2 linked regions of the Rhinolophus ferrumequinum genome follow. The protein of the gene in region 1 interacts with the protein of each later gene in a pairwise test. Links are inferred from orthologs where the notes say so. Each region holds a gene or a part of one and is shown on either strand. Other genes may lie near its edges.

What was found.
Region 2: the proteins of CUL5 (region 1) and ELOA come close enough for resonance energy transfer, tested with the Homo sapiens proteins (3 studies listed by BioGRID). The link is inferred for Rhinolophus ferrumequinum from reciprocal best matches to the Homo sapiens genes CUL5 and ELOA.

Annotation. Positions count from the first base shown.
Region 1 is NC_046294.1:76,756,215-76,763,925, forward strand, and holds the start of CUL5 (cullin-5), read left to right. Parts: upstream 1-4,464; 5' UTR 4,465-5,077; coding exon 5,078-5,101; intron 5,102-5,682; exon of another isoform or gene 5,683-5,789; intron 5,790-7,711. UniProt on the Homo sapiens protein: Core component of multiple cullin-5-RING E3 ubiquitin-protein ligase complexes (ECS complexes, also named CRL5 complexes), which mediate the ubiquitination and subsequent proteasomal degradation of target proteins.
Region 2 is NC_046292.1:16,210,197-16,217,997, forward strand, and holds the start of ELOA (elongin-A), read left to right. Parts: upstream 1-4,524; 5' UTR 4,525-4,564; coding exon 4,565-4,717; intron 4,718-7,801. UniProt on the Homo sapiens protein: SIII, also known as elongin, is a general transcription elongation factor that increases the RNA polymerase II transcription elongation past template-encoded arresting sites.

The DNA.
Region 1 (7,711 bases):
ACAATTGGTAAGAATAATAGTGAATAAGTGAACAGGTTACTATTCACCTGTTGTTTTTGACAAGACTAGTCCCAAACTAGTTATTAAACATCATTCCCCAGAATTCTCTGTGTTGCAGATAAGCCTATGTCTCTCCCTGGGTTTCCTGCCTCCTTCTGTAAGGGTCAAAGGAATTCCCAAGAACTCCGTGCATTTGAAGGGAGTAGGAACGACCCTCCCCAGCTTCTACACTTTCAACTGCAGCAGAGAAGAGGAAACCTTAGAGGTCTGTGTGTTTCTGGCAAGATCCCCACCCCTGCCTAGTCATGACACACCCCCACTATCTGCCCTTCCACCATTAAAACCAATATCATTATGCCTTTAGCTTTATGTCAGTCTCTGCAAGAAGCCCCTATACCTAGGTCACCCCTCATCTGGGTACACTTCATCACTTACCCCTTTTTGATTCCATTTCCCCAACCTCTGACCTCTGGACAAGCAGTGAAATCCTCCGTATCCTCAAACTCTTCTCTTAACGGTTCCTTTACTTCCTTATTCTAAGTGGAACTTGATTCTTTCCTGAAGTCACTGCTTTTCCTGCATCTCTCTCTTGAGATGGCTAATGTACCACTGGGCCTGGAGGTCATGTGATGGTCTTCTTTGTTCCCCACTGCCATTTCTAAATCATCCTTCTCTCCTCTTCCCTAGAAGCACTCAGCTTGGAGTCTGGTGTCAATGGACCATACATCCATTAACTCTCCTTGCCATAATCATGTACTGACCCCCCCAGGTCATACTCCATCATTCCTTAATTAATTTAGATACTGACTCACTATCATTCTCTCCAACACTACTCCTGTCATAATTCTTAGTGATTTCAATATTCACACAGAAGATTTTTAAAACCCTGGTGTTGTAGTAAGGTTTCTCCTGAAAGTAGACCCTGAAACAAGGACTTCGGTTACAAATGGTTTATTTGGGAGATAACCCAGAAAGCAGGAACCAGGGAGCAAGAAGAATAAGATAAGGAGGAAAAGCCTCTGTAAAGGTGTGGCATTAAGGTCACTACCATGAATGAAAGAAACTTGAGTCCACTGAGACCTCTGCGAAGCATCCTGAGTGCCCCACAAAATTGTTTGCATGAGGACCAGAGGCTGACGCACTTATTCACTGGCTTCTGACCTGTTAGTTAAGGGTTGTTCTCAGGAGCTTTATCTTCCCCACACTTTGCTGTACTTTCCTGTGAACCTAGCAGGCTGCTGGGCCTTCAGAGAAGACCCTGAGGTGAAAGAAGAAAGGAGAGGTGCCCTTTTCGGGTGGGAAGCTGTCAGGGGAGTCTGAAATGTCCATCATAGCTGCTACTGAAATCAGAAGTAGATCAAGGGGATGTGACTAGGACACCATGAGAATGCCTGGCTTCTCAGTTCCCTGGCCTCGTCTGTCCCAGTGATCCTGTTCTCCACCCTACCTCACTACTGTCTCCCTGATCATAGCTTAGCCCTTGTCATTACCAATAACTGCAACCGATAACAGCCTAAGCTCAATGTCACCCTCCAGCCACCTGCTCCTATCTTCCCAACTTACTCCCTCTGGTATCTTCATTCCAACAACCCTTCGTCTCTCACCCATACAGTACTTTAATCCTACTATATTTTCAGTTTTTCACCCTCCAGATTCAATTTTAACCCCATGGTCAATCATCATACTCTTACACATATGCTCAACTCGCTGCAACATCCTCTGTCAACAAAACCCTAACCTGGATTGGAGCCTAGTGTGTATCAATTCAGTGCCTGCACTTGAGTGTCTGAATGTGGCTTTAGAACGAAACAGGTCCTGCTACTCAAGAGCAGTGAGACCTGAGGTGTCTTACTTAACCCTGCTGTCTTAGTTTCCTTAGCTATGCCAAGTAGTCGCAACTAAAATTCAGGGCCACTACTCTCAATTGGGTCCTTGGGACTGCCCAGGAATCAGAACGCATTTCCTCTATCTCTTCACTCTCCCTTCTATATTCTTTTCTCATTTCTTCTTAAACTTCAGAATATCTGTTGTTTAAGACATTTGCAAGAAAATGATTATGTAATATACTCGTATGTATAAATTGGACTGTGAGAGTTTCACTCTGGACCTGGTCCCATGGAAATCTTAGGATGGTTCTGTTCAGTTTCATAGTTGCTAGTGGGGTTTTCACTTCCTTGTCCAGGGCCCCATTTTCTAGAAGGGAGAGTGGAGCTTAGAAGTGTTTTGGACCATGGAGGGGGATGGTCATTCAACCAGAGCAGATTCATGGGCTGAGCGCAGACTTAAAGCACAGGTAACTGTCTTACAGGCAATATAGAGAAAGCTGCCTCCGAGATACCCTCTCTCAAGAAAGACAACTAACACACCTCTCAGCACAAGCAATGTGTGGCATTTCCTGGCACAGCAAAGAAGGATCTTCTGGCTTAGGAATAAGGATAGAAATTGATATAGGGATATGGTTAGATTCCGGTTAGGGTTAGGCTTAGGATTGGCTCCCATGGATCTTCCTGGATAGTCTTTTGAGACAGACTCTTTTTCTCCATGTGGTATACAGAGATCTGGGAGACCCCAACAATCATTCTCCTCCATCTCTTGGGGCTGTTTCTGTCCTCCCTCTTCCACTCCCAAATCTTGCAAACCCTTGGTGCCCCATCTAGTTTTTCACCAGTTCTCTAATCAATATACAGTGTATTGATTAAACTTTATATACTATCTTTACATGTAAAAAAGCTTTTTGTCTTTTGCTTTGCTTTTTACAAATCAAAAGCTTTGTTTTATAGCTGTTGTATTTAAAATAGACTTCCAGAGCCTATTGTGGAAGTAATAATCCCAAACATCGTGGACACAAGGGATGCATTAGGGCCTGCTGGTAATTGTTTGCATTTCTACAAGAAAGTGTGAAAAAAGTACGCACAAACATACTTTTCAGTAATTTATATCACACAGCTGAGTGAAAATAAAGATGTGTGGGAGTCTTGCCTTCAATTTGTAAAAATGCAACAAGTGTGAAGTGCAATAAAGTGAAGAGCAATAAAAAGAGGTATGCCTGTAGTGGGTACTCAAACAAGTATTAAATACTTAATTGGATTCTTTAAGTAGGGTCATTAATTAATTGATTTATTCAATTATTACATCATAGTGTCTTCGGACTTTTTTTAGGGTACATAAAACTGATTATAATTTAATCAAGAGTCTTACATTTTAAATTAAGCAGTAGAGTTGGACTACAGTTGAAGATAACCCAGTTTCACAGGAAAAGGGAACCATGATTATATAAAGTTTATTCTGGACTAGGCCTTTTTCTCTGACCCAGTTGAGTGACTTTGGCAGGATAACCTCTCTGAGCCTCATTTTTGTCCTCTGTAGAACAAAGGTGACCTCTATGGTAAGAGTCATCCCTGTGTTAACATTCTGCCAGAACACACAGGCATAGTGGCTCTGAATCCTTGTCCTACCATTTACTCATTGTTTAATAGTGTATTGCTCTCTACTAAGTCATTTGTAAAATGGAGACACCCAGATGGCATGAAAGTTATGTTGATTTAGTGAAGTATTACATAAGCTTTCCAAATTACAGTTCTGCTTCTATTCACTCCATAGCAGTGAGAGTTAAAATGGGAGTTTGATCATGCCATTCCTGTGTTCAAAAGCCTGCAATGATTCCCTATCTCACTCAGGTAAAAGCCAGTCTTTATGGGTGGTCTACAAGGCCCTATATAATCTTCTGATCGCCTTATTCTCTGCCCTGAACACACCAACCTTCTCACTATTTCTCGGATACTCTTGGCAACCTACTCTCTGTGCTTCCCCTCTCTGGGATACTCTTCTCCCACAAATGACCTGGCTTCTTCCTTACCTCTTTCAAGTCTTTGCTCAAATGCCATCTTCTCAGTGAGGACTACTTGAATCACTGTATTTAAAATTTCCAACTTCATCCTTCCCTTCCGTTTTATTTTACTACATAGCTCTTATTTACTTCCAACATATCATGAATGCTAGTAAAAATGTATAATACAATACCAGGTATATTGTAGGTTGCACATATAAATTATATTCTCTTCCTTTGGCCAGTCCCTTGTGATCTGAAGGGATAATGCTTGGGGGCTTATGGTTTAGGATCTTCTGGGACAACGCCTTCAGGAAATCCAAGGTTAACGTTCATTGCCCAAACAGTCTTTCATAGATTATTTTAGTGCGAGACACACTTGAATAGAAATATTAATAGTTAAGGCCCTTTCTGCCATGTAAGATCTCTGCAACTTAAAAGAGGGCCCTCACCCAACCATGCTGGCATTCTGATCTCCGACTTCCTGCCTCCAGAACAGAGAAATAAGTTTCTGTTGTCTATTAAAAAAATAGTTAATAGTCAACATTTCATTCATTCATGTATTCATTCATTCATGTATTCATCCAACACATATCTATGGGGCGGTTTCTATGGCCAGTTCTTATGGAAGACAGCTGTTACAAGCATTTCATTGGGGTAAGATACCTCCCTTAACACTCAAGTCGCGGGATTTGGGGCGGGGAATAAAGGGTCTGGCCTGGTCTCGCCAGCAGAGGGCGTGATCCCACCCTCTTTGCAGCCTCTCGGCCCACCAAGGCTTCCAGGCTCCCACGCTCGCTCCCGAGCGCGCCCCCGCCCGCCGCGTCACGTGATGCGGCGGTGGAACCTGAGCTGCCGGGCCTAAGCCGAGCTAAATTCGTTGCCGGTGGCCGCTGCGGGTGCAACCACAAAGGCTAATCCGAAGAAGTGGGGAGGGTCGTGGAGTCGATGCTTCCTCTTCCAATTCAGGTCGGCTCCCGTTACCTTCTCACCATTCACCGTCGCCGTCTCCCTGAGCGTTTGCATGAGCTCTTTCGTGTGGGGAAGCTCCGGTGACCATGTAGGGGGAAAGAGTGAGGAAGCCTGGGACGAAGTCAGCGCTGTCTGCACGCCGCCCGGCGCCCACCACACCCCCGGTGCGGGCCGGTGGGCCCGTCGGCCCTGGTGGGACAACTCCGGCCTCCGGTTGTGGCCTGGCCCGGGGCGCCACGAAATCTCGCTACGTCTCGCGAGAATCTAAGTTGAAGGAACATGGCGACGTCTCATCTGTTAAAGGTAAGACCCTCAGGCTAGCTTGGCTTTTACTTCGCGACCGCTGGGTTCAGCTCTTTGGGAAAGGTTCGGATCGGGTTTAGGGGCAAATTGTAGGAGTGTTCAGGGGTTGTCTACCGGAAGGGAGGCCGGGGAAGCTGCCGCCCAGGACCGGAACGCGGGTCCCTGGCCTTGGGGTCGAGAGGCTCTGGTTGTCCCTCGGGCCGGTTGACCGGTGTGTGAAAGGCCCAGCTGAGGGATGGCGGGTAGCGATGCTTTCAATGGACCAGCTCTGGCCTCGGACGGGAGATGAATGGTGGTGCTTTGCCGTGACCGATTGGGCAGTTAGTACTCTTAGGGTCTCGGTTTGTTCTGAAGCGAGAGTCTAAGACGTATAAAAGGAAAATCCAAGAAAATGCTGCCTGACATAGGGATCAATGACGACCCCCACCTCCTTAATTTCAGTTCTTATTCTCTCTGCACGGAATTCTAAGTCAGACGGCAAGCACTGCCATCCACTCCACTCCCGCCGTCCCTTTCTGCACGCTGTACTTTCCCTCCTACTCTCCCATTCTCGAGTTCATATTTTACCCTTTTTTCCTTAGGAAACTGCTCCTCAGCCCCACTACAGCACACAACCAGATGACTACGGTACTGAGGAAGTGCTGCCATCGCTTTAGGGCTTAGGAAAGTTACCTTATCAAAGAAAACGGTTAGTTAGTTTTATATATTTGGGATAGCAAGGGAGATCTAGAGTCAGGAGCAGATTCTCTACTATCAATTAAAACGTTTGGAGGAAAACGAGAAAAGGCACTAATCTGTTTATTCTGTGCTTGTGTTTATAGTAGGAACGTTTTGCCTTAAAAGTATTTACTGAATTGGTCTGATTAGCTCAGGGAACATATATACAAAGGATGAAGTACTCCCCTCGAACCCATCATTATACATTCAGGCCGTGAGGATGGATAGTGGAAAATAATTGAATAGAAAATATGTTAAAATATACCGGAACCTCACTCATGTCCTTTTTTAGACTACTGATGTTAACTGCCTGATAGATGGGACTGTCCTATAAAATGTAGAACTGTTTTAACTAACTTAAGAGGCAATAATATTATCTTCCTTTAAATGGGGGAGGGGCCTAGAACTAGACTGAATTTCAGCCACTTAGAAGCTGTGTGACTTCCGGCAAGTTTCTTAATCTCGGCCTAGGTTTCCTCATCAATGAAATGGAATTATTAATAGAACCTGTTTCATAGGAGCGTTTTGAAGATTGAGTTAATGTATATAAAATGGTTAAAACCGTGACTGGGACTTAATTAGTACACAATACACCTAAATTACTAGAATCACTACTCTTGTTTCTCTAAGAAAACTAAATAACGGAATTGAGTAACCCATCCTACTGGACTCGTCTTTTGTAACATTATTGCAAATTTTAATATATTAGTTCAGAAAGAAAACTTGTTTAACTTCTAAAGACTCCTATTAAAGCGTCTGCATGATTACATAAGCAATCGCTTATGCTATTAATTGAAATCATGAAAAAAATAATTGGGTTCCTGATTCTTTGAATTTTTGACTGGATTACATGCATATACAGCAGTCTTTCCCCACCCCCCAATTATCTCAGCAAAGAGCCTTTTACTTTATTCTACCCCATACAAAGCTTTGCAAAGGATTGTTGGGAGGAGATACAAGTCTGAAGTTATATCAGTCAACACTACTAAGTGGTTACTTTGTAGAGATTATGAATCTACATCTACAGCATACATCTATAGAATAAAAAAGCTGCTTGAATATATAGAAAATGGACACTTAGTGTTTAGGTTAAAAGGATAACAAGAATTCAGAAGTTCTGTAATTCAAACAACTTTTATAAATAAAAGGAAGGTGGCAGTGCTTTGAAAAAACTGGTAAATTCCTCAGTCATTCTAGTGAACGTGAAAACAGATGCCAAAGATGCACTGGGAAAATTTCAATAAAGTTGTTTTATGAAATGTTGAAAGGGGGAAAAAGAATTTTTAAATATTATTTTATATCCTATGTGATTTTAAATATGTACAACTAAGGGAATATAATGGACAATGTAAATACACGTTTAATTCTTTTATCTGTATCACCAAAAGTTTACATATTTAAATTGGCCGGAAATCTTTCCTTCTCTTCTTATTGGGGGGAAGGGGAATTGCCCTAAATTCTTATATCTAGAATTAACTAATTAAAAACTGGGAAGTTTGTCTTGGAGAAATGTAATGTGACCTTGCCAGGGTGGAGCCATAACATAAGTCAGAGGGTCATTTAAATTCAAGGCTAGTGCTGCGTTGAACAGAGACAGGGCTGGCTAGGAAGTGGCCACGTTAGCCTCATTTCCTTTCTTGACAGAATTCATAGACTGGTTCCTTAGAACACTGCCTGAGACATTGTGTAATTAGATTTCACCACAGCATATTTGACAGAATTATCATGTCCTATGACCAAAATGGAGGTATGTGGGCGAGGTGAGAATACAAGTAGAATTTGATTCATTATCAGTTAAACAACTGTACCTGAAGGGAGGCCTTTACCGTCCTGCTGAAAGATAATGTCCTCTACCTATTTACCAGTAACTTGGATTAGGTTAAGTTTATTGAA
Region 2 (7,801 bases), on another chromosome or scaffold:
TCAAAGCAGTTCAAGGTCAAAGAGTTTGAATTTTGGTGCCCGACAAACTTAGCTTTGACTCCTGGCTAGGTCACAAATGCCCCTTGGGTAAGTCACAAATCCTCAGTTTCCTCGTTTGTAAAATGGAGATTCATTATATGGTATCTATATTGTAGGATTGTTTTAAGGATAAAGTTGATAGCTAATGCAAATTGCTTAGCACAGTGCCTGGCACATTTAAGAGCTCAAGAGTTGGTATTATTACTGTCGTCATTGCTGTTGTTATCCTTACTTTGACCGATCAATCCTCCTTAGTTAACAGAGGAGGAACCAGGCCTGGCCAGAGTCATGCAGTGAGCCTTGGGCATGGAGGAAAGGGGGCCGGCACCCAGGTATTCAGACTTGCAGTGCAGGCCAGTGTGGGCTGTGGAGAGAGCAGACCTTGGTTTACATTGTGGGTTTGTCACCTTCCACTCTTGAGCTAGTTGCTCAACCTCTCTGAGCCTTGGGTTCTCTATCCTTAAAATGTCTCGAGATTGTTGGAAGGTGGAGAGATGAAGTGTATAAAGGTAGCACAGAGCTGGGACATCTAAAGGCACTCGAGGAGCAACAGTTCTCACCCCTGTGTGGTGCTTTCTTAATCTTCTCTACTTAATCCAGTGGTTTTTAATCTCCCCCCCACCCTCCCCACAATGAGAGGAAGGAGATATGGACCCTTTGAGAATTTGTCATCTGTAGACACCCAAACTCAGAGGGTTCATAGACCTCTGCTGACACTGGGGATGAAAATGAATCCATACTCAATCTAATAGGTCCGTCTCTCCTCCTCTCGCCTTCTCCTTCCCTCCTCCCCCTTTCCCTTCCTGTCTGGCCCCATCAGCTCCAGGCTAGCTGCCTTTAACTCACAATTTTTCTAACAACATCTTTGTTCCAAGGGCATTCTCAGCAAAGACTACAACCACATTCTCAGTTTCTGGGGCTGAGGACATGGTATCACTTAAATTTCCCAAGCATCAATTTCCTTCTCTGTAAAATAGACACTGAGGATTAATTAAGACAACGTTACTGGTTGATAGCACTTTGCTGTCCACACACATAGTCTCAGTTAACCTACACAGTAACTCTATGAGGTAGATCTTTCATTCAACTCAGTCAATATTTATTGAGTGCGTACTATGTTCTAGGCAGTTTTAGCCACAGCGATGCCTCATGGAGCTTACATCATGGGCAGAAAGGATTAAAAACATGAACACTAAATAAGGTCATTTCAAATTGTGATAAATGCTATAACAAAATTAAAACAAGATAAAAGAGCTAAGGGAAGGCATTTAGGTCTTTATCTGGATACAATTTATATAAATTCACAGTATCAAAGTATCAGTATGTACTTGTTACTCTTTGATTTTTATGGTACCTTTTTTTCCTGGTAAATTCCTTCTCCAAGGGTGGCTTTCCTTGGGCGTTATAGAATGCTGTAGTCTGCCCTCGTTAGACAAAGGGTCTTAGGATTTCTAGGCCTGATATCCTTAAATTGTCAGTGGGGATTTAACCCAACTTCAAGGCTGTCTGTGAAAGGTGTGGATTTTGAATCTCAGACACCTTTCGCTGGAGCTGGCAGTCTCCAGTTGCATTACTGTATTTGAGGAAGGCAAATCCAGCCTGTGAAATCCAGAAAAATGCCACCCCTAAGTAAATAACCAACCGAACATGTCTGAAGGATGTGAAACTAAGATGAATATAATCAATTCAGAAAAATGAGCCCATTGAGGGAAGAGAACAGAGGCAACAGCTGGGCAGGACAGACTGCCCAGATGGAGGGTTTCATACTCTCCATTACAGCAGAACACAATATTCGCTTTACTAAGGCCATGAATTTTCTCCAATAATTGCTCCTTTTAAAAAAAAATACCTATTGTATGCCAGTTACTTATAACATATTAATAAGCCTCACAAGAAATCTGTAAAGTAGGAGGAAACAATGTCAGTGAGTTTAAGTAACTTGACGAGCCACGGTTAGCCTGGTAGAATTGAGTGTTGGAGCTCAGGTTGTCACTGATCCCCAACCCTGTGTCCTTTACACCCACCATCCACCAACCTCAGAGGCTGCCTACTTGGTAAGACAGAGGAGTGGCAGAGCCCGGCCGGGAGAGGTCCATGGGGAAGCCCTCCCCACACCAGTATTCCACACTCAATACACCCGTAGAATCTCACTTGACCATTTCATGAAAGGCTGGGGCTTCTTTCTTCTACTGAGGACAAGATGGTTGCCCGGTTTGTTTTTCTCACTTGTCTTTCAGTGTTTTAAATGACTCTAGTACCAGCCAGCCTGGGATTGCTCTTTTCCAAAATTAAAATACTTTTAAGTTATCTTCATTAATAAGTAGCCCATATTTGTTGCCAAAACTCAGAAGTGTGTATAGCAGATGAGAGCTTCCCTGCCCATCTTTCTCCCACATTTAGTATGGCCTTAAATGTGCCTTCTGGGCAGAAGGAGATGGATCTTTTAATTCCTCTCATAGGGGAAGTTATCGTGCTGGTAAAAGAGCTACGGAGTCCCGTCAGGTTTCAGATGATACTCTGGTCCAGCCTTGAGTTGAATAATTAGTTCAGTTTTTAACAAACCTTCATGGCATGTCACCTGTGTGCTAGGTGTTGCTGATCCAAGATGGACAAAACAGCCTCTGACCTGGGGAACTCATTCTGTTGTTGAATACCCTTGTGTAAACCAAGGATTACAGTGGTGATCCCCTAATGAACATATACAGAGTGCCATTTTTAGAAGTAGTTTAAAACTTTCTTTTCAATCAGAATGACACATACATAATTAACTGATCAGAAAAGTAGTCATAATATTCCAGCGTAAGAGTACTTTGCAGGTAAGCCCGACTCAGGCTGACATAGCTGGGGTGGAGGGCTGGGGTGCACCCTCTCCAGAAACCCCCAGCAGCATGCGCTGTTTCTTTTCATTCTGGTTGTTGAGCTTTCCCTGGATACCATGCGCAAAATGTGCCATGTGTGCAGAGGATATGCCAGGTCAGTTAGTCAGAGATTCTGCTTCGAGAATCGGCCCGTTTTCCATTGCACCAGTGCTACATTTTCAAAATGGAAGGAATTTAAAATGTAAAAGCATTTGCTGTGCAGAGGAGGGAGACTGCAGGGCTGGGATCAGAATCCAAGTCTCCTCACACCCAGTTTGATGCTTTTTCCATTACAGCCCACCATTGAGTCTTAAGGCACCAAGTGGGTGGGCATTAATCTTGTATGGACTTTTTATCCAGTGCTGATGATGTCAACTGGACTGTGCCAGCAGCAGAGATTTTACATTGGGCAGGTCAGTCACTGCATTTGATAAACACCCCATTGACAAGACAGAAAAACAAATGGACAGTGTGTGTACACCTTGACGAGGGTCAGTTGCAGCAGGAGGGGCACCAGGCAGAGGGGTGGGGACAGTGCAAGGAGGGCTTCTTAGCATAGTGAGTGTATAAAAGCACATTTGAAGAAACAGCTTATATTTTCTTTTTCCAGATCTGGCACCTGGAAGAGTCTGGTCAGGTACATTGCCAAGTTGCTGCTCAGATTTGACTAGGATCTAACCTGATCTACCCAAAGGAGATGTAATCAATGCTGGTATTTTAGGTCTGTTTTCTACTGTTTAATTGTTCTTTTTAGTGGTAATAATAGTAATAGTAAAATTTAGTACTTGTAGGATGAAAGTAAATGCCCTCAAGGATGGTGTCTTGGACTGGTCTGATTCAGGCAGGGCCTACTGCTTCAGAGGAAACATTCATTCATTCATTCATTCATTCAAGAAATATTTAGTTGGTACCTATGTACCAGACACTGATTTTGGGGAAAGTGAGAGACACACGGGCTATTTATTCCCTCATGTAGCTAAGCTGTTTGACTTTTCACACATCCCTTTCTCTGGGCTCAAATCCTCGACCTATCTATTCAGAGGTGTGTGCTCACAGTGGACCTTAGACTATTTATATTCCAATTCACCTCTTCCTGTTATGTGATCACATGCAAGTTAATTTGGTCTTCCTGAGCCTCGGTTTCCTCGTCTGTAAAGTGGGGATAATATAAGTCGTTTCATGAAGCTGTATCTAGGGTGAAATTAAGATAGCTCAACCACCAACTCTTAGTGCGCCCAACCCAGGGTGGTCGCTATCGTTAATCCCTGTTGATTCCCTGAGCGGAGGACCAACTCCGGAACCACAGGTGCTAATTAGGGCGTGGCTCACAGCCCCCCGGGTGGAGGAATAGGGTTTATAAAGCCAGGTTCTGGCGCTGTGGCCTTATTCCGTCTTGACTACCGTAGACACCGGAGAGGTCTTCCAGGCTTTGGCCCCGCTCCGCACACCAAGGGCCAGAAGGCCCCGGAGTGGCCAGCGCGGGGCCAGCGCGCCGGGACCAAGCGGGCCTCTCTCGGTGCGCGCGGCCGCCGAGCGGCGCTGGGGACCGGGTCCCCCACCCTGGGGGCGGGGCCTGCAGCCGGCCCGGTCCCCGCGCCCCGCGCCCCGCGCTCCCCCACCCCGCCGAGGCCCGGAAGGGGCCAGTCCCGCTTCCGTCTCCGCCGGGGATGCACGGAGGGCGGAGCTGCGGCCCGAGGACGCGACGCGAGCCCAGTTCCGGCGAGGAGGCCGCGCCAGTGACAGCGATGGCGGCGGAGTCGGCGCTCCAAGTTGTGGAGAAGCTGCAGGCGCGCCTGACTGCGAACCCGGACCCGAAGAAGGTGAGCGAGTGGGCAGCGGGGGGCGAGGCGGGCGTTGGGCGCGGCGCGGCCCCGTAACGGTCGCGGGCCCGGGCGCGGCCCCCTCCCGGCCCGCCGGGGCGCGGGGCTCGGACCCGGAGCCAGGCCCCGCCGCGCTCGCAGCCGGGCGCCGGGGAGTCCGCGGCCCAGGCCGTGGGACCCCGTACGTCGAGCCTCGGTGGCCCGGGGCCTCCCTGCGCCCGGGGCCCGGGCCTGGGTTCCCGCGGGCTCTCGGCGGGCAGGGGCGCGCTCTGTGGGCACCGCGTGCCGACCTGGCTCCAGGAGCCTCCCTGGGCGTTTGGGGCCAGCTGTTTCCTGTCGGGAGAGCTCGCCTGGAGTTAACTCCGGCCCTCTCCGCCTCTCCCTGTGAAGTGTTTCTGATTTCTTAGTGTCTTTTGATGTTTGTTCGTGGGGAGGAGGTGATTCTGCCTGTGCGTGATGGAGTCTAGACTCGGTGTGTGGTCCCTGCGTCTCTAAGAGACGTTTTTATTGCTTTCCGGCTTGATGTTAGAACATGGACCTTTTCGCTTTCTCAGTAATTCCCTTTCAAAACAAGACAAAATAAGCCTCACGCACGTCACCTAGCTGTGCCCAAAAATACGCCCAAAAACTGAGGTTGTAGTTAGGGGAAAACAGAGAGGTTAGCAGTTGCAGGTAGATTTCCTTCTGGCCTTGAAAAAAGGTAAGAGCTACCGTTTCTCATTTTGCAGCGAGTGGTTTGCAACCGTTTTTAATTGTACTCAGCTAGTTTTGTTTTCTAAACTGTTTTAAGTTAAATGCGTTCTTCTCTCTCTCCGACTTTTTGTTACCCCGCTTATTGGTGTCTGGGAGAAGGGTGGATGTTAGGTGTTTTTTAATTGAAATACACAGATGAAAACACCCAAGGTGTCTGACATTCTCTGTCAGCATTCTAGCTAACATGTACATACAGTTCTAAGAGTGGGATCTCTGAGTCCCCGAGTGCGTTTTGAGAAAAGGAAATAATCGAGGAGGCAGTTAAGATAAAGTGGTGGTGAGATTGGGGTTCTAATCCATTTACCAGCCATGGACCAAGGGGAGGTGAACCTGTTTCCTCACCCGCTTGTTCTGAAGATGGAACTAAAAGGCAGAAGCATCAGGCTCATGGGAAGTGCTCAGTAGATACTAATCATCACTCTTCACAGTTTTCTTGAAGGGCCCCTTTCTCTTCATCTTGTCCCCTGCTTGTCATAGGTGAGATTTTTTCCCCCCTCCATTTCTAAAAGCTGCACACAGCATCTCACCATCAGGCCACTTTTTAACTCTTTTCATTCATACCTAGCTCAAAGATCCACTTCTTTAGGAAGCCATTTTAGTTTTCAATCTGAAAACTTAAATGCTTTCAATTGTTTTGTGTTATATTTTCTATTGCGGCTTCATTACCTAGTGGCCAGGCATATTTACAAGTTTCTTTTTACAATAACCCTTTGTGGACAGCTAATAAATGGCCATTATTTCTGAATACGAGTTTGTTTTCCTAAACACTGTAGGTTTGTAACTGATCTTTAAAAGCTTAAAACAGTATTATGTAAATCCACCCCCAGCCCTAATTTGATCTTGTTTTCAGGTTGGAAAAAATGCACCATGTAGTATCTACAGTTGTTCTTCCATTAGGATTTAAAATTTGAAGTAGCTTTTCTAGTAGTTGATGTGCATGAAATTTCCAATTGGGAAAAACGTTTGTTTGCCTTCTCATCCTGCTTGAACTATTAGTAGTTTTTGTGAGTATTTAGGCTTTCTCTTCCCAGATAGAAAAATCACCCTGAACTTCCAGCTTTGCATTATGAAGTGAGCATTAAGACGATGAGAAAATGTTGGGAGATCATTGCTGCAAAGGGCACAGTAGTTGGCATTCAGAAATGAGCTAACTGCAGGGAGAAAACTGCAAGCTGGCACGCTGGCCTTCTCCTCAACCTTCTGTTAACCCAACAAGCTCCCACAGGTTGTTCTTGAAATTGCAAGATGATTATATAGGAGTATTGAATTTGCAACTAAATCCTGATTTCAAACCATCATTAAACAAAGGGTGGATTCCACACCTATGTTCATGGATTTTCTGGCATTAAACATTGGTGTTTAACTGAAACTGTTTTCGCTTTAAGTCCATCTGAAACCCAGGCTTACTTGGGGGAAAGGTATCAGGCGGAGGCCAGGGTCACTTGGTTCCTACTATTTAATTGGAAACAATTTTCATGGCTGGTGAAGTTACCTGTCCTGTGTTACGTTTGAATGTGAAAATTACGCAGAACACAGTCCGATGGCAAGTGGAGAATGGGATCACCATTATGAACATCTTCTGCTCTTTGGGTTGAAGGAGTGTGCAAAGGACAACTGAAATTCCTAAGCATGCATTGTGCAAATGTTTGACATTTCTCAATGAGCTGTTATCAGTTCTTGCAAACTCTACAATTGGTCTGTTGGTTTGATAACAGCAAGTTTCCATCTACCTGAGGATGTCCAAAGTGCTTTTACCTTGTTACTGCTGTTTTTTCTTGAACATCATTGAAAACAGAGAGGCTCTGAAGCCCTTTTTATCTTATGTTGAGCTAAATCATTTTGAAAATCTCCAGAGTTTTTGTTTTGTCTGCTTTTAAGTCGTCCCGACTAACCCAAAGCAAAGCAGAAAGGCAGCATTTACTCCTCCGGTTAGTGCTAGGCTTTGAGATTTTCAAAGTGACTTCAGGCTCCATCCTTAATGTTGGCTTCGTAGAGGTCCTGAGGATCCTTTGTCCCCGTGGAGATCTCCTTCACACTGTGGCCTCTAGACTGTCTAACAACGGAATACTGTGGAGGCACTCTTTGGCTTTGGGGTATGCTGAGAGGCACGTGAGCTACAGCTCTCTTTTCTCTTCCTAGTTTCTAAGGACAGTGTTAGGTTGGATGTGTCTCCTGGCCTTGCAGTACATACTGTGGCAGACACAATTGACTTACTAGCTCGTGAGGCAGGTTATCTCACCTCACCGAGCTCGGCTTAAATAACTGTAAAACAGGGTGAATAATACCCACTTTATAGAGGTGGTCAGTGAGGATGAAATGAGGTAGCACGGG